Medicago truncatula: one gene and its partners. The protein of the gene in region 3 interacts with the protein of the main gene of each other region in a pairwise test. Links are inferred from orthologs where the notes say so. Each region holds a gene or a part of one and is shown on either strand. Other genes may lie near its edges.

What was found.
Region 1: the proteins of WUSCHEL-related homeobox 4 (region 3) and probable WRKY transcription factor 47 interact in binary tests that used the Arabidopsis thaliana proteins (3 or more experiments, as listed by UniProt). The link is inferred for Medicago truncatula from reciprocal best matches to the Arabidopsis thaliana genes WOX4 and WRKY47.
Region 2: the proteins of WUSCHEL-related homeobox 4 (region 3) and dehydration-responsive element-binding protein 2F interact in binary tests that used the Arabidopsis thaliana proteins (3 or more experiments, as listed by UniProt). The link is inferred for Medicago truncatula from reciprocal best matches to the Arabidopsis thaliana genes WOX4 and AT3G57600.
Region 4: the proteins of WUSCHEL-related homeobox 4 (region 3) and transcription factor DICHOTOMA interact in binary tests that used the Arabidopsis thaliana proteins (3 or more experiments, as listed by UniProt). The link is inferred for Medicago truncatula from reciprocal best matches to the Arabidopsis thaliana genes WOX4 and BRC1.

What each region holds. Positions count from the first base shown.
Region 1 is NC_053048.1:52,389,192-52,396,384, reverse strand, and holds the start of probable WRKY transcription factor 47, read left to right. Parts: upstream 1-4,180; 5' UTR 4,181-4,287; coding exon 4,288-4,503; intron 4,504-4,617; coding exon 4,618-4,689; intron 4,690-4,802; coding exon 4,803-4,949; intron 4,950-6,070; coding exon 6,071-6,277; intron 6,278-6,567; coding exon 6,568-6,681; intron 6,682-6,780; coding exon 6,781-7,193. UniProt on the Arabidopsis thaliana protein: Transcription factor. Interacts specifically with the W box (5'-(T)TGAC[CT]-3'), a frequently occurring elicitor-responsive cis-acting element.
Region 2 is NC_053048.1:43,371,353-43,377,928, reverse strand, and holds dehydration-responsive element-binding protein 2F, read right to left. Parts: upstream 1,877-6,576; 5' UTR 1,812-1,876; coding exon 942-1,811; 3' UTR 535-941; downstream 1-534. Other genes in the region: DNA-binding protein SMUBP-2, read left to right, coding at 54-230. UniProt on the Arabidopsis thaliana protein: Transcriptional activator that binds specifically to the DNA sequence 5'-[AG]CCGAC-3'. Binding to the C-repeat/DRE element mediates high salinity-inducible transcription.
Region 3 is NC_053042.1:5,757,312-5,763,551, reverse strand, and holds WUSCHEL-related homeobox 4, read right to left. Parts: upstream 2,106-6,240; 5' UTR 2,052-2,105; coding exon 1,812-2,051; intron 1,401-1,811; coding exon 1,083-1,400; intron 868-1,082; coding exon 715-867; 3' UTR 521-714; downstream 1-520. UniProt on the Arabidopsis thaliana protein: Promotes differentiation and/or maintenance of the vascular procambium, the initial cells of the developing vasculature.
Region 4 is NC_053045.1:54,389,023-54,395,533, reverse strand, and holds transcription factor DICHOTOMA, read left to right. Parts: upstream 1-4,365; 5' UTR 4,366-4,400; coding exon 4,401-5,501; intron 5,502-5,597; coding exon 5,598-5,663; 3' UTR 5,664-6,002; downstream 6,003-6,511. UniProt on the Arabidopsis thaliana protein: Transcription factor that prevents axillary bud outgrowth and delays early axillary bud development. Indirectly required for the auxin-induced control of apical dominance.

The DNA of each region.
Region 1 (7,193 bases), on a different chromosome or scaffold from region 3:
GACACCTGGACCTGAAAAAAAAAGAGTGACACGGCCTTGTACAAAAAATGGACTTTTCTGCAAAAAACAACACTTAAGGACTAAACTGTAATTGACCAAAAAAGGACTAAAATGAAAATTGGAAAAGAAACTGGACTGACATGTAATTTTGGGACCTCAATTGAGGGACCAAAATGTAATTAAAAAATAAAATTGAATAAAAAACGTAATTTGACCAAACGTAAAGTGAAACAAAAATAAAACTGACAAAACGGACTAAAACGAACCAATGGCTTAAATGAGGTACTTCAAAGTAACCTCCCCATGCCAAAATTTCATGTGAAATGACCAAAATGCCCCTAGGGCTAAAAACGACCTAAACTGAATCAAATTGACTTGACACTGACTCAGATGCAAGTTTGAAATGAATTTTAACAAAGTTTACTGATGGAAAGTTAAAAATGAATTTGAAAAGACTCAGAGACAGTCACAAGGATGAAAATGGGTCCCACTGCAGGAAATGACCAAAATACCCTTCTGTATGACTTTTTGCAAATTTTGAAATAAACTGTAGAAAAAAGCAATGTAATGATTCAGAGACACTTTTAAATGACTTACAAGACAAGTAAAGACATTTTAAAAGGTTTTATGCAAGAAAAACATAGGTAAAATTGTGATTGAAAATACTGCGAGGCAGAGACAAATTGAACTGTGCAGTTGAAATTTGATAATTGACAAAGTTTGAAATGAAATTGGGCCCAGTATTTTTAGGTCCAAAAACAGGGTATAACACCCACGGTTACCCGTCCGAACCAAACCCAATTTGACGGTTTTCCCTGTTTTGACTGGGTTTGGATATGGGTATGGGTTTTTCCCGATTTCAAAATACGGGTATGGGACGGGTAACGGGTATATAGGTACCCACCCCGAACCCATACCTAAACTCGTCCCAAATGTAAAAAAATTACTTTATGTTGACATGTCATGTTATTTTGTTTGATAATTGTCATGTTAATAAAAACTACCATTGATATTTAAAGGATCAACTAAATCAGTTCGTCTAACAAATGTTAAAGTGAGCGTATTGTTGGATGATGTATTATAACATTGCTCTTGGGGATGCAAAATAACTTCTATTTTTTATTAAAAAAAAATTATTCAATGCGAGAACGGGAATGAGGCGGGGATGAGATTCAATTTCTCATCCCCGTTAGATATGGGTAGGGTAACAGATAAATATATAAGTATCGGGTATGGCGATGGGGAATGTAAAACTCCGCCCCATTGTCATGCCTATTAACATATGACAATCTCTTATTCTCTCATATCACTTCAAAAACACAACAAGAAATATATAATTTATTTCGTTGGACATAAATTAATATAGACTAATACAATTGGACATAATATCATAGTAATGTGTATGTGGTGCAGTTTGGACATAATCGGGTCCTATGTAAGGGTTAATTTCCATTGAAATTGCATCAACTTATATTGCTTTGCTCCTATTTATATTGATTTTTTCTTTAAAAAAAAAATTGGTGAGTAGGAAATAAAGTAAAGGATTCCATGGTCAACATTAATGTCCAACACACAACTCTTAGTAAAATTCAGACAAGCTCAAAACACCTGGATTGTTTTTATCGCCTTAAAATTATCCATAGCTTGCCTTGATTAATTGGTCAAAGTGAGAGACCTTCATATCCTCATTGATCCAAGCTCAAACCTTGAATTTAGCAAAACCTGATTATTATTTTTTTTAAATCTTCTTGTGTTGCTTTTTTTAAAGGTCTCGTTAAAAAATTTGTTTTAGCCCTCTAATGATGCTGGGTCAGTTTTGATTTTCATTTTGTTCAATTAAAATAATATCAAGGAACGACGTTCAAAATAAATAATAAAATATCTATTCACTCAATACAAATTAGTATATAGTCTTCGTTAACTTAGTTCAATTGCTATGGAAATTGCATAATATATACATGGTCAGAGTTCAAATTCAAATACCTACTTATTGACCTAAAAAGATGAATTTCTAACCATTAAACTATTTGATTAAAAAAAATTATATATATTTTCTAGTCTCTATTGGTAATAACATCCACTCTAAAAGACAATCGAATTTTGAGAAACAAATGGGTTGAACTTTTTAACAAATTTAAAGTCAATAATTTTGGTGATAAGTTATATTCAAAACCTTTGGAGGACTCAATGTAAGACCAAACGCAAGCAAATGGCAAGTGATTGATAATTTTAGGATTGACAACAGTTTGGTATTGATTGGGTTGATCATTAAAAATCAAGTTATGATTATGAAGTCGTTATTTTTTCCCTTGCCTTTGGAGACCCGCAGTTAGGCTTACACGGTTGGGTCTTTCAATACGCCTTAGTTGAGATGGACATATGAACTCAATGACGTTGCTATTACCTTCAAAGTCAGCAGGAGTAGGATTAGGTTTTCCAATCTTGTGGGCCTCACTGCTCTAACCACCGTTTGAGAGAGAAATAGCTGTGCCGTCAACTAAGTTGACCTTATTCATCCTTGTAGTTTATTTTTTTTGGAAGAGGCAAAAATATATTTTATACGTCTAAAAAAATAAATCCCTTTCAACAAATTAGTTCACTGATAATCAATCAATTAGGCTCAAGTGATTAATGAACATCATCAAATGACGAATTATTCAAAATAATTTGAGTTTAATTCCTAGATGAAACAATTATTGATCAAACTTTATTTATCTCTTGATCGAACTTCAAATTATTAGAACTCAATTTCTCTAGAAATCGAAGGTTAACACCAATTAGTTCACAAGAATTAAAAAAATTATAGTATTATTAAATGAAAAATAATTAAAATTACTTCAACCATGCACTTGAATAAGATAATAAGAAATCTCTTTCAATTTGACTAAATTGTTAAATAAAAAAATAATTAAATTTATTATGAGAAGTAGTTCTAAAAATGTTGACATTGAAACACCTTATTTAGTGTAAGAATTTACTAGTCTCTTTAAGAAAATTCAAAAAAATGGAGAGAACATGTTTGTATTCTACCTAATCAGCTGAGCAGATTCTCACATCGAATTCTTTCATATAAGATGAGTGGTGATGAAATGGAAGATGTTTTTGTTTTGAATTTGATCATGTTGTTCTGTCAACTGACATATATATTTCCTTCATATTATTAGATGAGCGGTGATGACAGGGAAGGTGTTCCAAGATGTTGTTTTGAGCTTGAACTTATTGTCCATCCAACTGACATATTTCATTTGACATAAGAGCATAATCAAGTTCAAAACAACATCTTCGAACACCTTTTCTTTCATCACCATTCATCTTATATATGAAGGGTTCGATGTGAAAACCTGCAGAGCTCATTAGGAATAATATACAAAACATGTTCTATCCATTCTTTTGAGTTTTCTCAAAAAGACAAATAAATCCTTATACTTTGTTTAAATAAAGTACTTTAATGCCAACATTTCATAAATTTCAATTAATTAAATCAAATTTTACTACAACAACAAGAACTTACGTTAATTAAACTCAAACCCAAATACAACATAAAACAACACAATAATACAACATTCACTAAAGTACATTGCAATACAACTAATAAAACAAACACAAGATCACAAATCAGCCAAACTAACCTCTTCATCTGGTACCTGCATACAAGATGAAGAGATTTTGGGTCGAATAAAATGTTTTTGAATATCTTTGATAGGTCTGGCTAAGGAAGCATCCAACTCGATCAATCATTTAATATTGTACTGACCAAATATAAAAAACATGGTTTTCATGTTATCATTGTTCCTGAACTTCATATGGGTGAACTCAATGCTTCCATCTAAGTCGGTCGATGGACGATGATACTCAACACTTTCTACCATCCTTGTATCTATGTGAATGAACCAACGAGTTAATCCTTCAAGCCAGAAGCTTTGAAAGTATTAACGCAATTTTAGGGTGGCTAGGAGAAAAAAGGTAAGCCTAAATAGTAATTTTCCATGCAGGATACCATTTGTTTGTAACCTAATGGTGACGTCATTGTTAGCCAAAAATGGCTAGTTTCTTCACAAGAAGTTCTTCCATTCAAGGTCTCTTCATTTTAATCTTCTATGTGGGACCCCTAGCTTAAGGTCCAAAGAGGGAGGAGGACGTGCGCTTCAGCATTTAGATTGAAATTAAATTAAATTAAACATTTAAGTTGAAGAAGGGTGATTAATTTCCAAGCTTAACTACCACGTCATTGCTAAATCCCTAGCACTTTCTCTCCTCTTTCTACACCGCTAATTATTATTTATAGTAATGGAAAACCACCACCACCGTGAATTATCCTTCTTAAGCTCCTCCGGCGACTTCCTCCACAACAACAGTATAGATCCTCCGATCAAAGAAATGGATTTCTTCTCATCATCACCTAACAAAAACAATAAAGAAGATGATCTTGATCAACATGGCAGCATCATCAAAGAAGTATCACCATTACCAACACTACTACTCACTCATCATGACCCTGTTAACGTAAACGTTTTAAATATCAATTATATTTATATATATTTTTAATGTAAATTTTGGAAATTAATTCATATCAATTGTGATATTTCATTATATTATATATTAATTTTTTTCGTACAGACTGGATTGAATTTAATGTGTTCAAGTGCTGCAGTTTCAAAAGAAGAAAATCTTGAAAATTCTGAAACTGAGGTTTGTGTGTGTACTATAGACCAAAATTTAACTTTATGTTAATTTATATTTTGAAGAACATATATATTTTGGATTTTTATTTTCTTTTAAATTTGTTATATGTGTGTTGTCAGATGAGTATACTTGAAAGTGAATTGAGGAGGGTGCAAGAAGAGAATCATAAATTAAGAATTATGTTAGAACAAATTACCAAAAGCTATAGCCAACTACAAGCTCAGTTGTTCATCACTTTGCAGAAACAAAAACCAAACCATGGTCAGGTGTGTATGTTTGATATCTAAGCATGTTTCCAACATTTGATTATTAATTTTCATCGTCAATCAGATAAATATTTTTTCTATGCTTTAATTTTATTTTCTCCTATAACGAAATAATGATTTGTTTGTTTCTGGATTTTTTTTTTTTAATGTCTACAACTCTATAAACTTCTTAGTCATCCCTTTCAAAAAAAACTTCTTAGTCATCAATAAAGAAAACAAGGGTAGCGTGCCTCACTTAAATTAGAAACCTTGGCTGTCTTTTTTCAAACTCATTCTTACTATAATATCTATTCAGTTCATTTCTTTGGATTTTTCCACTAGTATAGTCAACAAACGTTTAATACATTACATTTTTATTAATTTTTTTAGGGGTATAATTTTAATTAATTATTTTTCAAATACATATTTTTTTGTTTTATGATATATGACTTCGGTCATGTCAGCCTGTTTAACCCGTTTTTTTTTTTCGAGATTAAGTTGAAATTTTGAAGATGACATTATTGGTTGGTCTGGTCAAACCTACTAAAAATGAGGCAGTGATATTGGGCGGGAGCATGTTGGTCCGTCGGGTCTATTAATAATCTTTTTTTCCATTAATTTTATGGGTCTTATTAACGAGTGCCTCCGGGGCACTCTTTAAGGATTCTAAAAGAAGAAACTTATGTTATAAAAAAGTTAAATATTTTGATTACACATAATTTCATGATAAATTAACATTTAAAGACGTTAACTAGTGTCCGGAGACACCGGTTAACATTTTCCTAATTTTATTTATAAGTCATAATCAACTTTTTATTTCTCTTGTATTTGACTCATAGAGTTGAGAGGAAAAACAACTCATTTAATTAAATCACTTTTTAAGTTTTTAGTCTCATGTTTCTAATATTTTTTGAGTCATTGAACTCATTAACTTCTTATTTTGTTGTTTTATTGGCTTATTCAAGATTTTGTTGCGGTGTATCATAAACTTTTGAATGATTAAATTTATATTTCTTATACATATCTTTTGAATAATTAGTGTAATTTAAAGTAGGCACCAAGTAACAGAACACTGAAGCAATAAAAATTTGACACATTTCATTTAATAGTGCTGAACAAAGGTAATAATATTTGTGGAACAGAATATGGAAGAAAATCATGGGATGGTATCAGAACAAATTTTTTTGAATAATAATAATGCATCGGTTTCGGATGGAAAACAGGCTTGTCCTCATGATCATCCTGCAGAAGATTCCTCACACTCATCCAAGTTAGAAGAACCCACACAAGACCTAATTCCTTTCAAAAAAGCCAGGGTTTCCATACGTGCAAGATCAGAAGCTCCCCTGGTACTATACATTAATATCTTTCACTTTTTATCCTACTACTATTAATAATAATAATCATCACCCGTATTACACCATTGTACAGTTATATTAACTTGGTGAGGCCTAAGCTATTTTTGGTGCATGCATATTGTTTTTTGAAGAGCTAATTCATGTGGTGGATAGATATATAGCTAGCTAGCTAGGCCGGCCACATGCATGAATGAATGAATGTGGAAATTAATTAATATTAGAAAAATGCTAAATAGCTTAGATCAATACATAATATACTAATTATTTATTGATGATTTTAGATCAGCGATGGATGTCAGTGGAGGAAATATGGACAAAAAATGGCCAAGGGTAACCCTTGTCCTCGTGCCTACTATCGTTGCACTATGGCTGTAGGATGTCCAGTTCGCAAACAGGTAATAAATTAATCATATGCTTAGTTTCTTTTATAAATTAATCATATATATATATATATATATATATACTAGTATATGTGCACTTTGTTTCTTGAACAGGTCCAAAGATGTGCAGAAGACAAGACAATACTAATAACAACATATGAAGGCAACCACAATCACCCACTCCCACCAGCTGCAACTGCCATAGCACACACAACATCAGCAGCTGCAGCAATGCTGCTATCAAGTTCAACCTCATCAACACTAAGAAAGGAATCAGCAACAGGTTATTTATCTAATTCATTTCCCTATGCAACAATGGCAACCTCAACCCTATCAGCTTCTCAGCCCTTCCCAACAATCACCCTCGACTTCACACAAAACCATAACCTCTCCATGCATCATAACCGAGTTCCTCTACCATTGTTCTTCTCACACAAGCTACCACCATTACTTCAACTAGGGCAACCGCCACCTTCATCTATGGTTGAGAGTGTTAGTGCAGCCATTTCTTCAGATCCAAATTTTAC
Region 2 (6,576 bases), on a different chromosome or scaffold from region 3:
ATTTGTTAGCATGACATGAAGAATAAAAGAAGAGACTTGAATATGCGTTTCAGGTGGGCTTTCTGAGTGATCGCCGACGAATGAATGTGGCCGTGACACGGGCAAGAAGACAATGCTGTATTGTCTGTGACACTGAGACAGTCAGTAGTGATGGATTTCTAAAGCGGTTGATTGAATATTTTGAAGAGCATGGCGAATATCAGAGTGCATCCGAGTACCAGAATGAATAGGCGAAATTCCCGAAGGTTGCTGTTATAGCTCTGATGTGATCAATTTGTCGATTTTGGTGATGTAGATCTGTGAAGGTTTCTAAAATCCTTCTTTTGCTATTTAGAATTGAAGGAAATTGAAGTAGTATTATAGAAGAAAGTAGACAAGACCATTTTATTTAGGAGAGTTTCCTGATCTCCATATTATTATTTTAAAATCACTTGGAATTAGAATTTTTAGTCTCTTCTTGTTATGAATCTTTCTTATACTTAATATATGATGCTTATAAACATCATTTTTAATTGAAAGTTCTTCTGTTAAAAATATACTGTCAAAATCTTAAATTTGTTAAATTATTGCGTGAGTGTGACATGGTCTTTGCTGCTACTACTACTACTAAAACAAGCTCCCTCCTGGCTATTTTCCTACTCTTACATTGCTGTCAATAAATTGAAATTCGTCACACATAAGTCAAACAACAATTGAGTACTAGCAGAACCAAAACCATCTGATCTATAGCTTAGGCATAGTTACTACTAAGTAGTACTCCCTACGACCTTAACTATAAGCAAAAAAGTATGTGTATTTAGTCCAAATTTAGATCAAATACATGTAATTTTTTGCTTATATTTAAGGCTAGAGGGAATATCATATCTAATTCTAACTAGATTTCAAGTCCATAAAAGCTAGCTAAGGTGGTTCCTCGTTTCTTGACAAATCAGCTAAGTTTCTTAAAAGTCCCAAATGGAAGTTGAGAAATTAAGGTGGTCATTCGGGTCATATGCTTCAAGATGGGTGGCTTCTGATTCCTCAATACCCGCAAATTCATGCATCTCGATCAATGCCTCCCAATTAACACTCATGTCTGAAAATATTCCTAATTGATCATTATCATCTCTTGGCAAAACTTCATGCACTGTTGAACTTCCTGAACTCTCAGTTTGCTCAGAGTGTGATCCTTCTTTCAGTATTCCCATCTGTTGAAGAAACTCATTTAGGTCTATCTGTGGTTTCTCCTCCTGAAGATCTCCAAGCATCTTATTTGCCGATGTTTGAACGATTGTTTCCTTTGGCAAAGGATCTTCTGTATGACTCTTCTTGCTGTCTACTTTCTGAATTTCTTCTGCCTTTGGATCATTAGATGAACTAGAAAATGATGATTGACTTGCAACAACTGCATTCTGCTTAAACTCTTGTAGCCTCTGATGGATCAAATGAACGCTAGGTTGAGCGTTTACATTGAGTAATCCACAAGAAGGAAACATTGAAATGAAATTCTTTGAAGGCAACCACTTGAACTTTCCAGTTTTCATAGTTGAATTGGAGTGTGTTTGCATGTGTGGAAGATTAAGGTATGCATCTGGTCCATAGAGTCTCCTTGCAGCCTCATCATAAGCCATGGCAGCTTCTTCAGCCGTGGCAAAAGAACCAAGCCAGAGTCTGGTTCTTTTCTTTGGCTCTCTTATCTCAGCAACCCATTTCCCCCATGTTCTTTGACGAACACCTCGATACTCACACGAAGCATTTTGAGGGCCACCTTTGCCTCTGGTTGGCCCTTTCTTCCATGGTTTCAAGGGGGATTTCTTGGAATTATCCATCATGTATATTGAGGATATAGTAGAACAGAACAAGTGAAAGTAGTAGTGGTGTGTGTGTATTATCAGTGGTGAGTGATACTTGGAACTGCATGTTATAGGAGCGGGATATGTAGAAGCAAAGGGTGGAGGTTGGTGTAAATGTTTTCACGTTTGGAGAAGTAGCTAAATCCATGTGACCGTTACTCAGTACATACATTCTTCAAAATCGTGTTTTTCTTTTCTTCATTTTCATTTTTTTCACATCTCTACCCACAAAATTCTTACTAATAATTTTTTTAATAAATTATTTTTAGGCTTTTCTGTTTTTAATTTTATTTTGAATAGCCTTTGCCTTAGTGCTGCCAGCATATATGTGCATGACTTAAAAAGTACAAGTGTGCATGGTGTTAACGCATGATGGATAGTTATATACATATATTTTTATTTATTATTTATTCACTACACATACAAGATACATATACTTTTATTTATTATTTATTTACTACACATACAAGATACATATATTTTTATTTATTATTTATTTACTACACATACAAGATAATCATTTCAAAAAAATTTAGAAATTAAGAGATAAATATAATCGTATCCTCAAATATCTAAGGTTGAATGCTAAAATATCCACATTGATTTACTTTCGAGTAGGAGTGTTCAAAACCGAACCAACCCAATAGAAAAACCGCAAACCAAACCAATTCAAACCGAAACTGCAAAAAACCGCACTTGGTTCGGATGAATTCATATGACTTTTGCATTGAACCGTGCGGTTCGGTTTGGTTTGCGGTTTGTCAGCAATCGAACCAAACCGCAAGAATAATCAATATTACTTAAATTTGTACGAGCCCAATTACATAGCCCAAGTTCGATTCTATTTGCTTTCCATCTCCTTCAATTAATTTTCGGTGATGAATTTGTTTCCTTTTCTCCCCAATAATTTGTTTCAGGCTTATGCTTCTTCTTAATTTTATCTATTTTTGATATAAGTTTTGTTTGGTTTTAATCTGGTTAGTTATAATTTGTGTGTAACTTATATGTATTGTCTATATATGTTGTGATGAGTGACTTTATAATTAGTGTGTAACTTTATACACTTGTTTTGTTTCCTTTTGAGTAATGAGTGACAATGATTCCATGATATTTTTGTTTAATTGTGCTTCAATCAATCATATTTGATTTTTGACATACATTGCATTTGATTTTAATCTTGTTAGTTATAATTTTACCTATTTTAATCAACCATATAATTTTACCCAGTTTATGACACATGTAATACATGATTATATTAAGGCAAAACAATATATTGTTGGTATTGAAAATAAAAGTTTAGGATCTATGCAATTGATGTATTGTCCTATTTTATCATGTAAACAACAAAATAAAATGTCATGTGTTTATTTTGTAGCAAATCGGCAATATTAGAATTAACATAATATTTTTTAGGTTTAAATATGCCTTTAGTCCTTGTACTTTCATCAGATTTTGGTATTGATCCCTACACTTTTTTTTGTTTGGAATTGGTCCCTGCACTTTGTAAAAATATTGGTATTGGTCCCTCTATTAACTTTCTGTTAAAAAAAAACACAAAACTATTGGTATTGGTCCCTGCACTTTGTAAAAATATTGATATTGGTGCCACGTGTCGTGAAATGATTGGGCCACGTGGCACTCCGTTGGTTTTGTGTTTTTTTTTAACAGAAAGTTAACAGAGGGACCAATACCAATATTTTTACAAAGTGCAGGGACCAATGCCAAACAAAAAAAAGTGCAGGTACCAATGCCAAAATCTGATGAAAGTACAAGGACCAATGACACATTTAAACTTATTTTTTATCTCACGATAAACGACACCAACCGAACCAATCCAAGCCGCATTGGTTTGGTTTGGATGACTTTTTAAAAATCAACCGAATCAAATCAAACTGCATGATTTTCTATCTCACAATTTGGATGACTTTAATGCTTAAATCTGAACCAAACCACACCGTGAACACCCTTACTTTCGAGTCAAATTAATTTTAAAGAGCTTTTTACAAAATTAAAGAGACTTTCTAGATCTCTACGTCGGTTTAAGGGGGGGTGGGCATATTTACATTCCATTGATTATTTTGTTTGACTATTTCATTTTACATATTCTTTATTGTTGTGGTGTTCACGGGTCACACAGTTTTCTTGGAGCTCCAATTTGCATGGTCAGTTAACAGTTGGTCACGATGATTCATTGAGTATATTTATCTTTTACTTAAGAAAATAAAATAAAATACATTCATATTTAGGATAAATGATATATACAAATCTCAAGCTTAATCATCCCCGTGTCAAAAAAAAAAGAGCTTAATCATCCCATGCTGTTGGATTGAATGGTTTCTGGGATCACATTTAAGGAGTAAATCAACATTTTGGCAGCCAAAATTATAAATATTGGCAGTTTTTTTTAGGTACATAGATTGAGCAGTTTAATCCCTTAAATTTGCCGACAGACAATTTAGTCTCTTATATTAAAGATCATCAATCAATTTAGTTTCTTTGCCAAAATATATGTTTAGGAAATATCCAAAAAAATATATTAGAATGAAATAGATTTTTAGCTAAAACAATATTTCATTCATAAGTCAAACTTGGATTTTGTCAAACGGTTTGTATTTTGTTGAAGCTCGTTAATATCCAATCATTTGGTTGTGAATATAGTACAGGCTAAATTATGTTTTTGGTCTCTTAACTATTTAATTAGTATCGATTTGGTCCCTTAATTAAAATTTGATTTATTTCGGTATCTTAACTTCTTTCTGTTACACATTTTGGTCATTTCTGTTAGTTTTAATTCAAAAACATTAGGTTTTCTTCATTTTCTGAAATTTTTCTCGGAATTTTGTTGTTGAATGTTGATGGAGATGATATGAAGATGAAGAAGATGATAAGAAGATGAAGAAAACCCAACATTTTTAAATTAAAACTAACATAAAAGACCAAAATATGTAAGGATGGAAAGTTAAGATACCAAAATAAATCAAATTTTAATTAAGAGATCAAAACGATACTAATTAAATACCAAAAATGCAACATTTTACTTAAACCTTAATCTTGTTTTTATGGGTTTATATTGATATTGATTGAATGATGGGTGTAGAGATTGTGAGTAGAATATTTGCAAATGAAGACTTTTCCAAAGTGATGTAGTGATTGTCTTGAATGAACTCTGACACTCATCCTTGGATTCTATTTTGATTTGTCCTCGGGTAGGATCTTATTAGTGATTAGATAAGAGTAAGAACCACCTCAACAATTTTCCAAATCACGACCTATATTTCACATGTTGTCCTGCAATACACATCCTGATTCTCGAGACTTCACTTCACCTTTATCCCATGTAATGTAATTGCTCTCTCTCTCTCTCTATATGTATGCATCTCTTCGTGACTCACATTCTTGCACGTTATGGTTCTTAGATACATGACCAGTATATCATCATGACGTTGAGTTTGTACGTACTAAGGAATATATATTGGACACTGTTAAAGAGAGCACATTTCACTATTTTAAAAACTTGTTTACACTATCACAATATGGTAAATTAACTGAATGACTATAAAACCACAATGTAAACAATTCTTAGAAAAAACACAATGTAACAAGTTTTTTTTTTTTTGACAGAATGTAAATAAATTTTTATACATATACGTTTGATTTTTTATTTTTTTGAGGGGATACATACGTTTCATTTTATTTTACCATTTTATCATAGCAGAATATCACCACTCCTCCTAGTAAAAAATATCACCACTCTTTTGTTTTTTATTTATCAAGTAGTCTAGTATCTAAAAATTCAGGTGAATATAAGTGGGATATTCAGGGTTCGAACCTCCGCTTTGTATTTATTACGCAATGTTCCTACCAACTGAATTAGGTTTAATGGGACAAAATATCATCACTCTTATTAAACGTAAAAAATTATTAGATGTTTTTTCATTTCACAAATATTTCTGATTTATTTTCATGTCGGTAAAAAAACTATAATAACAAGATGATAAATATAATCATGAATACATTGAATCCCTTCATTATTTCTGATTTATTTTGTTTAGAAAGTGTAAAGAAATTCTTCATTCTTAAAATTTTAGTTAAACTGTTTTTATAAGTTTTAAAGTTTTAGGATAAATTGTACCCAAAAAAAAAAAATTGGGATAAATATATATTATTTTTGCTAGTTGCACTCCTTATTGTACTAGTGGCACACCCCTCAAACTCAAAATATTTAAAAATAATACCCAAATTACTCTCAATGTAAATGTACTAGAATTAAATTTAGTTGAACCAAGTTCACATAAGCATGCGTGAATTGTACAAGTTGCATGTGATCTGGGTTTATGAAAATGAATTTGAACTGAGTTTGTATAAGATCTAGAAATTTAGAATCAACATGTGATACGTGAATTGGGTTTGTGTAAACATACTTTAATTGAATTTGCACAAACGTACTTGAATTGAGTTTCTCTTTGTACTGATTTTTTGTAAGTGTACATGAGTTTGCGTAAACATATTTGAAATTCCATATACTACGTGAACTTAGTTCATGTATGCCTACTTGCATTGAATTAACGTAAACATACATGATCTCAATTTATGTATATCCCTGTGACATGAAACACGGAAATTGCATAAAACAAAAACAAAACAAAAATCCTACTTGAAATCCAATACATGATCAACAAAATGAAGTATGATAAAATTGCATAAACAAAACTCTAAATCGCAAAAAGAAGAAAAAAGAAAAAAA
Region 3 (6,240 bases):
CTTTTGGCGACTATAGACTTTAATTATGAATTTTTCAAATTGTTGATCTTTCTTTCCCTCCCAATTCTCATGGTGGGTTAATCATTGGCCCTACCAAAGCACTGGGAATCTGAAATATAAGCCTAAATTATTTGCATGTCAAGGATGAAAAAAATAAATGGACTCGTGTACCCTTTCATAACTGAATTTGGCCTTGCTTTATGAAAGTTTGATCTATAGTGTGAGTGGAGTATCCGGTGTGATTATTATCTAAGATTTCGGCTAGATCGAGGACAATTACATGCTTTATTCAAATTTAAACCTAAAATATGAGAGTATAGTACATGCTTAATTAAGATAAGATTAGTAGAATGCTTAATTAAGATAAGATTAGTAGAAGTAGGTGCGTGGACTTCAGTGTCTGTATAGCTTCACCTTTTAACCTAAAAGCTTTCGATTCACAAGCTTATGTCGTCTAAAAAAGGATTTATATTTTCCAAAGTCACACCTACTACGCTGAAATCAACAAATGAAAAAAGGGTGACAAATAAGTTTGGTTAATTTGGCTCCAAAGTCATGGAATTATAACATTACGTGAAAAGAGTACAAAGATACAGTAGTGACAACATCTTTGTCTTTCTTCTTTCCCAATGTAAATGAAAGAAGAAATTACTAAAGCAAATTAAAGCACATTTTGGAAAGAAAAAGCTAAAAATTGTTATAGATCAAACTCCTTCATCTGCCTTCTGGGTGTAATGGGAAAAGCTCTAGAGTTTTATGTTCCTCTACTTTGCACATTGACCAATTTTTCTCTTCCAAATACTCAAATGGCCAACTCCTACTCTTCTTCAATGGGCTATCTTCTTGATCTCTTTCCATTACTTGCACCTATCCAAAAAATGTAACATATTCAATTAAATATACAAAATTTAATAACCTAGTAACAAAAATATATTTTAGTATATACATATTGTTCATGGTTTTAAATTATGGTCCAAGACTATAGTTGCGTCGACAATATAAAGGATTTTAAGGTATCTGCAACGACATTTCGAAACCACGATATATAGGTTGAGTTGAATATTATTTGAATACGAACATACCCTTTTTGGGGTGTCCAAAGTTGTAATAGTACTAAAGGTGGGGGACATAGACACAAGTGTGGTGGTGGGAGTTCGAGGACTATGAGGAAGGCCAAGACTGTTACGTTTCTGCTTTTGTCTCTCGCGTGCTTTGTGGTTTTGGAACCAATAGAACACATTTTTCCCTTCAATTTTACCGTACTTGCTAAGTTGAACTGTAATCTGTTCTATTTGTTGTGCATTTGGAGTTCTCATTCCACCTCTGTATAACATCTCCAATATTCCTATTTGTTCTTGTGTTGGATTCCATCTTGTCCCTCCTGGAATATGCGTTTCAACCTATACATACACAAATAATAATACATATTAACATATAATCGCCAAATCAAAAGCTTTTAAACGACAAATATTGTTCGTTTAATTAAAAAATAAATAAAAAATTGGTCGTTTAATATTTTTTTCATGTAACTCAAGTCTTATATGGAAAAAGAGCAAGTTCATGTTAGAAGAATTATCAGACATTAAATATAGATACATCTGATAACTGAAGTTTATAAGTATTATAGTCAGAAATATGTTATTACCCTATATACCTATATATTACATGAAGTTAATGTGAATTATTTATGTTGTTCTTGATTATACTAAATTTTTTAATGCATTATATGCACACGTGAGTTAATTATCACTCTACTGCATGGTTAATTAAAAGAAATGGAAATGAAACTAAGTAGAGGTTAGTATATGAACCTGGCTTTGTGGTGAAGGTGGATCTTTCTTGTTATCATCAGAGGAAGAAAGACTAATTCTGGGAGCAGTTTCGGGTCTAATGAAACTCTTGAGATCAAAAGAAAGAGAAGGGGTGTTAGTAGTAGAATTATCGGTGTTATTAGAAGAAATTTTAGGTGCAAGAGGACGTAAACGCTTGCAACCAAGTGTGAGGGAAGGTTCATGCTCCCAAAATCCACGTGTGAATTGATGCACCTTCATAATGTTTATGTTTAATATAATTTGCCACACGGTGTGATGAAGAAATGAATGACAGGGAATGTGATTATATAGAGAGAATGAATGAATGGAAATTATGATGATGAGAAAAACAAAACAACAGTGAAAAGTATACAAAGTGGGAAATGAGGTGTTGCGTGTAAGAACCAAGACCAAATGATGAGGTGCAGTTGACTTTTGATTTTCCCTCTCTAAATTAAACCAAAAGTAAAACACGACAAAATTCTTCAAATCAAATCAAATACTGTAACTTACATTTTGTACCTTCAGAGAATACTACTGTGCCTGGGTTCATTCCAGCTGCCAGATGAGTAACAACCTTTGGATTTGATTTTTATACACTATTAAAATTATTGTAAAACTTTATCACTGGTACATTCATTCATATTTCATTATTTTATATATAGAAAAACTTAGTAACTAATATAGCAAAATGACATTATTATAGTGTATTTTGATTATTAATTAGTAGGCATGGCAATGGGCGGGGTGGAGACAATTTTTACCTTTCTTGTCCTCATATCCTAATCTCAAATATTTACACGTTATCTTACCTATATCCAACGGGGATGAGAAAACAAATTTCATTTCCGTCCCTGACAGGTTCGGGTATCTCATCCCCATCCCCGTAGTGGATAATTTTTTTTAATAAAAAAATGTATTTTTCAGCCCAAAACTCAATGTTGTAATACATTATCCTGCAAATAAATGATGGTGATTGATTGCTATGGTGACGGAGAAGAAAGATACTCAGGGTGTGAGATGTGGAAGGAGAAGAGAGAAAACTTTGAGAAATGAATACTGAGACTTTGATCGTGTTAGTGAAATGATTTAGGATTTGAGTTTATATTATATAAAAGATATAATAAATTGATTTTTTACCTTCAGGTATGGTTATGAGTTCGGGGTGAGTACTTATATCCGCATTACCTGTACCGTATCTGTATTTTAAAATCGGGGATAACCCAAACTCAATCAAAGCAGGTAAAACTCATCAATTTAGATTTGGTTCGAACGAGTACCCCATGTATGGGCTTTGTTGCTATGTCTAATTATTAGTTGTATATATGCGTAATAAAACTATATATTAATTTTTGAGAGGCAATAAAGCTATATATTGTTCCTTAAAAAAAAAAAACTATATATTGTTAGCACATGATAGAATGTATTAAGATCAAAATATGTTTAAATTTATTTGATAATAAAAAGCAATAGAACATCTTTAAAAAGGTTTACGGTGATCACACCTTTCTTTTCTTTTCTCATGTCGATGACTTTAAAATTTCTTCTTGTTTTAACCTTTTCATTCATCAAATCAAATATCACACATTTTTTTACTTTTAATTTATCTTTTTTTTTTTCTTTCTCTTTCCCTATTATTTTTGACACTCAAGAAAGGGAATGTTGTACACATATCTGAATCAGAATGAATGAAGAGGATGTAAACGTGTGTGGACACAGGAGTTTATAGGTTGGCCCGTCAAATCGGGTCGTTTAAAATTTTCTTACTTTCATCATAAGGTGTTCTCACTTTTCGGTGGCCTTCATCAATTAAAGTTAGTGAAGTGAGGAATGAATGCAAAAAGATTCCTCCAATCCCAAAACTTGAAGATGGAACCCCTTTTATTTGCTTTTTCAAGATACAGATTTTTATATGAGGAAAAAATGCAAGAGTAGGGAAAGATGTGGACTTATTATGGCGACCATATTGAGAAAAACTAAGTATACTATAAAATAAAATTAAAGTTTAAAACGTGTTTATAAACCAATTTTGTAAGGACGAATTACATAACATATATGTATATTGGTTTGGAACACCATAAATTAGATCCATGCATCAAGTCGCTTAAAAAAAAAAATACATGCATCAAGTTAAATAGGGGTGCGGTGTATTGCAAAAAATATTCTCACATAAAATAATATAAAGCGTGACATAAATTTGTGAGAAGTGACATCTCATCTAAAAAACGAGTTACCCGTTTTATAAAGATGTATTAGATCCTATATACAAATATATTAAACAAAACCTTGAATATAAGCTAAATCTTGTGTCTATAATCTTATGACCATATAAATATTTTTCAAAAATAGTTTCCTTATCGGATCGAACCCCATAATATCCACTCCTCTACTTTAGGAACTGTAGCACCAATTTCCCAAATTCTACTTTAATACTCAACGTATAGACCATGCATTCGTGATATAGCCTTAAAATTTTATTTCATTAATCTTTTTATCCAAATTGACTCTGTTGGTGTATTATTATAGTTTATATGGACTCCTCAAGTGGAGCCATGTCTTATGCATATTACTATATAATAACCAATCAAAGATTCAAATGTATATAGAAATGTGTATGTGCATTTTCATTCGTATTGGTTAAACATATTCTCACTTCCCAAAGCGACATGAGGAGTGGCCGGGCAATAATTCTCACTTCCCTACTAGCATATGATTGAGTACTCTTGAGTAGCTGGGAATTTTTCCGTCGTAGTTCTTTGAATTAACAATATAATTATACATACATTATATATATAAAATTTGACAAGATATAAGTATAAACTACTCCCTTAAAAAAACTATAAACTATAACTTAGTGGATATAACAAACATTCAAATTGAGAGATTACATCATTCAACACCGCTAAAAACGTAAAGGATGAATCTGCGAACAAACTCACAACATCCAAGTTAATAGCATATAACGGCATAATGCCTACACAAATATATGATGAAATTAAAGTGACCGGAATATCCATTGTCTCCGGATCTGCAACGTTGATGCCCAAATCTTTGATTGAACAATCGATATTTCAATATGAATCAAATGAACACCGCACGAAGACGGGAAATCAAACAACGCCGCACAAGACGACGAACAACAAATCACCACACTTAGATGATGAAATTACAAAGAAAAAAAAACCTAGATCTATGTGAAAATCACTTATTTAAATTGAAATAAAGAGAAAAAGATGAAGAGGGGTGATTTCAGGTCAAGTATTGACCCAAAGTCACCCCTCAATAAAGAAATTGTAAGAGAAAACTTAGAGAGAGAAAACTAGGGCCGGCTTATTGGAGAGGGAGAGATTCTATCAAGAGTTTAAGTTATTATTTTATTCTCAGTTCTCATTAGTTAGGTTATATAGTTTTTTTACTTACTGCATATAAAAAATGATTGAATCAACATGGCAAGGTGTTTTTATATTCTTTCTACAGATCAAAATCAATTAGTTAAGATGAAAATTTTAAGTTCAATATATGAATTCATTTATATACTATGAAATTGATCGATAAATGTCATCGGGATTTGGGATGGTTAGAGCCTTGTGTACATGTAAATATATAAATGACCTACACATAATTTTGATTTTTTCGGTACTTAATGCACTAAAAATAGAGGAAAAATGCTAACAAGGGTGTGGCCATATCTCCAATCTAATATCAACGAGTCATTACAAAGAGATTTAACTTTAAACAAACACAATAAATTAGTTTTCCACAAACTCTCCAAGACCAAACCTAATCGTACCATTTTCCACTATCTTCTCATGAACAAGAGAATTACAAAAGTCATAAGAAATCTAGCTCCCAATGTTCTCAAGAACATTCTTAAATTTCTCTCATTTACCCTCTTATAAAAGTGTTTCCCACCCCTAGAATCTCTCCCAAAAGGCATAAGTCGTTTTCCAAGAGTATATTCATTTGGTTCTTCAAGGATTATACAAAAAGAACAAGAAGAAAGTTTAAATAGAGGTCCAAAACCCGAGCCATGCGCCAAGCGCATCACTAACAACATGCACAACGTACAAGCCTATGCGCTCATAAACATCATATGCCTAGCATGCGAGGCCAAAAAAAAACTTTTTCAAAATCTTCTCTTTTATATATAATGAGATTTTAACTCACACTCAACAATATAATACAAGTAAGTTCCGCTATTTTTTTTCGATAAAAATATTCTTTAAAAACATACTTCATCTAGTCACATTTATAAGCAAAAAACAACTTTTTAAGTACATTGAATAATTAATGCATTTGATCTATAAATATGATCGGATACATTAATTATTCAATATATAATTAAAAAGCTATTTTTTGCTTATAAATATGATCGGAGGTAGTACTTTCTTTTTCGTCGTCAAAAACCAATTTATTGCTAAAAAATAGT
Region 4 (6,511 bases), on a different chromosome or scaffold from region 3:
ACCTTTGACTTTATAGTACAACCAATCATAGACCGTTAGATTAAGTCATTAAGATATAGTCTTTTAATCTAACGGCCTGTAGTTGGCTGTAGATTATCCTTTTTTGGGGAGTTTTATATAGATATTCAATGTGACCATCCTAATGTGATTGGTAAACCTTGAGACACCGAGTTGAATTTGTATCACAAGGAAACTAGCCACTTTAATATGGTGTCATAGTTATCTTCTGGTTGAAAGCAACCCCACCCCTTAATTTCTTTGCAATATATGTGGTCCTAAACTTATATGACAGTCTAAACTCTAAAGTAGTGGCGATTGAGACAAGTATGCTGCTAAGCTATTGAAAGAAAAGAAAGTTGAAGATAAGTGGGGAGAACGGCATGCATAAATGGAAAAGACAGACAGAGAGAAAAACCATCAAATTTTTGTTAGTGTACTATGTAGGTATAGTGCTTTCAAGTGTGGATGTGGACTATTACCATTTTGAAAAATAAGTTGAGGAAATCATGCTGTGTTTTGGATTACAATTGGTCAATAGGGCTTTAGAGTTTAGAACATAGATGCCGGTGGCAAGTACAAGCACACATGTGCACTATATATTGCACAATAGCAATAATATATACATATATATCTCTATCTTTACAAAATAACAATCTTGGCATTGATAAAGAAAGAGTTAAATCAAGTTATAAGACAAAATTGGTTAATGAATTTTGTTTAAAATTTTAGCTAAAATAATCTCTGAGTCGAATATAAAATTATTAAAACCTCGTAAAAATTAATTAAGACAAAAAGAGATATAAAAGTGGTTACCTAGCTATAAATATCTATCAAGTTAAAGAAGATAAGCACGCATGGGAAGAGGGAACCAATAACTACTACAACATTCTCAAATAGATGTGATGGATAGATATAGATACATCATACATGGACATCTACTATATATCTACAATACTATACACCACAAAGAAAGAGTGATGGTGCATCTCTTTTTGGTGAAAGTGATGTTCTGAGCAACCCCAGTCAAAGGGAGCATATTGGCTAGCTAGCTACAAGTATACTGCATACATATATATGGATGGTTGGTTGGATAGAAATAATAATTGTACTCTCTACTCTCTCCACCACTTATCTCCTTTTAGGGTTTCAAGCTAGATACACTCATACACGTGGGTTTTTTCTTTCTTTCTAAATTTCAAACAATTAATGAATGAATGAAAAATGCATGATAAATATTAAAGAAGACAGAGAATAATAAGAAAATAAACTATTTGAATTGGAGGTCATTATCTTGGACAAATACCTTAATTTGCTCATATGATAAATTCAGATTGCTCTTTAGACATCTAACAATTACTCATAGACATCTAAACATCTCACTGATATATAGTTAATTATCGTTTGAACGCTTTTTAATTCGGTTAAACCGATTTAAAATATATTGAATGATAGTTAACTACCATTTAGCAGAACATAGTTAAATATCATTCGAGGTATTTTTTTAGGTGTCTCTGAATAATTGTCAGGTGCCTAAAGATTACATCAATGAGAAATTAGTGTTATATCACCCTATATGTACTAATTTTGCCATAGTACCATACTATTAGCCGTAAACCCTTATTCTTTCATACTTATTCAATAACGATTTTTTTAATTGTGTTTTTTTTTTTTGGTCAAGTAGTCTAGTGACTAGAGAAATTCACCTTAAAGATGAATAAGTGGGGTGTCCGGGGTTCGAACCCCGGCCGCTGCACATATTGTGCATTATCCCTTACCAAATGAGGTAAGCTCATGGGGACTTGAATTGTGTTATTTAACATCCATTTATATGACAACTTTTGAGACAATTAAAATTTGGCTTAATTGCACTATCTTTGGACCCCTATCTTTCTAAAAGTTGCGGTTATGGCCCCCTAACTAATTTAAATACAAAACAGCCCCCTATGTTTTGATTTTTTGACAGTTTTGGACCCCCAGTCCATTAGTGAGGTGTCACGTGGCCCCCTAAATAATACACATGGCACCTCACTAATGGAGCGGGGGTCCAAAACTGCCAATGAATCAAAACATAGGGGGCTGTTTTGTATTTAAATTAGTTAGGGGGCCATAACCGCAACTTTTGAAAAGATAGGGGTTCAAAAGTGCAATTAAGCCTTAAAATTTTATAAAGAAAATAAGGAATTGACACAAAAAACAACACAATAGAGAGAGAGAGAGAAAGTAAAAATATAATATATGATAGAGAAAATTGTAACAAAAGTTTTAAAAAAATGGTTTTTCAAATATCATTTCTCAATTTATTTACATCTCTCTTTCTACCACATCATAGACAAATCACACAAAATGTCCCTATTTATATCACTCATAGTGTATAAAAGATGTATAAGGGTTGTATAGATGTCCGCCCATCTTTTTCTTTAGTCTAATTGGTTTCCAACATGTTTCAATATTTTCTATTATATATCAAATGAGTAATGATATTTGTACACTCATTTGATGATAATTTTTGTGACAACTTTATTTTTCTCTCTTTTTATTAATCAAAAACAATATATATAGAGAGAGAGAGAAAGAGAGAAAAAAATAAAATAAAGAGATAGGATAAGAATATCATGTAAGTAATAGAGAGAAAATTGTTCAAAAGTTGTCACAAATATCAAATATCATTTCTCATATCAAATATACTTGAGGACATTTTTTTAAAGGGGAGAATGCTCATTCCACATCACCATCTCTTTTTCAAGCCAAACATATATAGCATGCCAAATAGTAATGTCAAAGACAACAAATAGATGGGAAACAAATTCAACATGAACAAATAGGGAGGCATAAACTTCCTCAAATATATAATGTTTGATTCAAGATCGTTGACTCAATTTTATAGTATATACTTATATATACGTCTATATGTATTTTTTATTTGTACCCGTGTCAAGACGTATACTAACGTGTTCATCTTTTCACTTTTTTATTGCGCTTAACTGTGTGTTTGTTTTATCTTATTTTCTTATAAATTTGTTAGAATATATTATAAATTAGATAATGTAAATCTCCACTAACGTTCTACAACCTTGTCTCATTTTGTTTATATTTTTCAATTTTTTTTAAGTACATGTTTGCACATATCCGTAAAGCATCTCCATATATATCCATATACTTTTCTTAAAAACAAAAATTATAATATTTAGGGTTCATTAAGTTTTTAGTCCCTATAAATATTCACAGTTTTATTTTTAGTCCCTACAAAATAAAATCACACTTTTTAGTCCCTGTGATATTTTTCTTTAAGCATTTTAGGGACTAAAAATGTTGATGAAAATTTTTTATAGGGACTAAACATGCTGATGGAAAAATTTTATAGGAACTAAAAATGTTGATGAAAAATTTTATAGGGACTAAAAACAAAATTGTGAATATTTATAGGGACTAAAAACTTAATTAACCCTAATATTTAAGATACATATATTCATGAAGTGTCTCAGTTAAGGAGCATCACACCCCATACTTCTATTCTATACAAGGTCAATGGTTATAAGCTTGGTATACATACATATATAGTAGTAGGAAACTAAAGGTGTGGGTGTGTAAGGGAAGTGATTGAAGAGGGTTTTAGTTTTCTGTCAATTCTCAAGCTGTGCCCACCACGTGAAGTGGCACACACAAACTATAACTTTTTCTATCCACTCACTTTCTTTCATTTTATCTTCCCTAAAGAGGTTATAAACTTTTTGCTCAAAAGCAAACCATATGATCCTTGTCTATAAACATTAAATCACTCTTGTTTGATTCTTTACCTTATTTCATATTTATTATTTATATTTATCTCCTCTTTCTTCTCTCCTTCCTTGCTAATTATACTACTCTCCTCGTAAGGTATTTTTATTTTCATTTTTATTATTATTGTCTATGTGCTGTCATTCTCATACTGTGTAGTACTTTGCATTTTTGAAGAAGCCAACTGTACAATTTATATATAGCATCACTCTCTCACACATACCGTGTATATATATATATACACGGTACTGGCAATGTCATAGAAGTAAAAAATTAATAGTACTTGTCTTACTCATCAAATTATGCCTTCCTTTATTTGCAGGGAGCAGAAAATATACACAAAAATGAACTGAAAAGGATGGAATTAATAGCTGCTGCTCTTACTTAAAGAGGAATTAACATGTCATTCTCAGGCTTTGGAAAGTCTCGATAATTAACAAGCCAAACCAAAATCTATAGCTATGTCTATATATATATATATATATATATTTCATCATCAAGACATGTACTAGCTAGCTAGGGCTATAGTTATTGTTATTATATATAAATAAAGATATATTTATAATATTGTTTGGTGTTGGTGCAGTACTGTCTATCTCAATCTCAATTCTCAACATATTCCAGATATGTATTCTTCAAATAGTTCCCTCAATGGAAATAACCTAGCATTTTCCTCTAAATCACCTTTTTGTTCATTTGAAAGCAACTCAACTTCATCAAAAGATATTGAAAACAGTCATTCCCCCTTTCCTCTTCCCAGTCCTTTCTCTTTCTTTCAATTCCCTAATTATCCTGATGATGATATTGATCCCTTTCAAGACAGCCATCAAATCTTCCTCCAACAACATGATGTTGATTTCCAACTTCATCATCCACCTGTTGTCATGAATAACAACAGTACTGATCATCATCAGCGGCCTTCCAATTCAACAATCAAAGCTAACAACAATCTTCTTCCTGCAGCTGCTGGTAAAGGCAAAACTGTAGTGGATCAGCAGATCCAAAGAAAAAGATCTAGCAAGAGAGACCGACACAGCAAGATCAAAACCGCGAAAGGACTAAGAGATCGGAGAATGAGATTGTCACTTGAAGTTGCAAAGAGGTTTTTTGGTCTTCAAGATATGTTAGGCTTTGAAAAAGCAAGCAAAACAGTGGACTGGTTGCTCAACCAATCCAAACTTGAGATCAAACTCCTTGCAAGAGAGAAAAATGTTAATTTTCCTACTAAGAGTGCATCTTCAACTTCTGAATGTACTGAAGGAGTTTCAAGCTTGGATAATGAAGTTGGAAATCAAGAAGAACCACAACAACAAAAACTTGTTATGAAGAGAAGAAATAGTACTAACAAGGTTTGTAGAAAGAGTGCATTCAATTCTATAGGTAGAGAAAAAGCAAGAGAAAGGGCAAGAGAAAGGACAAAAGAAAAAAGGAAGGCTAGAACATCACTAGTTGATGAATCAAATTCAAAGCAATACAATGAAGAAGGAATAAAAACTAACCTCATTTGGAACCCCTTTGAAAGTGTGGAAGAATCTGCAGGTACACATCAGAGTACTCAAGGTGTGACTCATCCTTCCTTTGATCATGTGAAGCTGATTGATGAGGCTGAAGTAGAAACAAGCTCTCAAAAAGCAAAGGAACAACATTCAGATGAAGATAATTCTTTGTTCATTATGAGCAAATGGAGTCCACCTATGATGTTCAATTCTCTCAATAACCTTCAACAAGTAAGTTCAAATTAGCCATGCATATATATATATATATGAAGCATGTATAATATATATCTGTAATCTGATATATATAAATCATGAAATTGTTTGCAGCATCAATTTGAACAATTTCACCAATCCATGGAAAAACCTTGGGAAGCATACAACAACCGCATTTAATTAACATGCTACCGTACTTGCACCCCTTATCATCACCTCCTCCTTTTTGTGTCAGTCAGGCTCAGAATAAAATGCATTATGCATTGCTGTGTTATTTCTTTGCTTTCCTTTTTGGAATGTTATGTGGTGAGGTATCTTCAGAATTTTGGAAACAATATTTCATAAATATTGTTGTGTGTGTATGTCATCTCTATTTAAAGTGTTGCCACTTTCTTGTTTGTTTCTGTTCTGAGTTCTGACCTTGAAATTGGTACAAGTTTACAATTTATATATGTGTCTCTTGTAAGGGGTATTTTTAATTGATGATAAAGAAAAATAACTGATTGATTTTTCTCCCTATCTGGTGAATATATGCAGTAATTAGTTATATATCATTACATTTTAGTTTTGAAATGGAGTTGAGGTGTGTTCAATTTAATGCTGCTGCTATTGATGTCATATCCATTTACATAACAGTGTTCCTGATCCTACCTGACATATTTCCACATGCTGTAGTTGTTTTTTCTTCTCTCAAAGTCCAACCGTCCCTTGAAGAAGGTTAGGGTTACTTGTCAGATGAGGATGTATTTAAAATTGTTTCCAAAACTATAATATATATTATGCATTTAGCCAATGTTTATAGAGGTCACTTTTTTTGTTTTTTGTTTTAATTGAGAAAGGAGAAGTTTCTATTAATCATGATGACAGTAACTAATGATCATTTTACAACTATTCTAGACGAGATTTAAACTTTGTTCAAATCAAGTTCCTACGACCTAATCGACACGTGAACTATTTATAGGTCACCGATTTAACACTTGGTCATCCGATATATATCTACTTAATTTGGACACATGTAATCCGCTTAG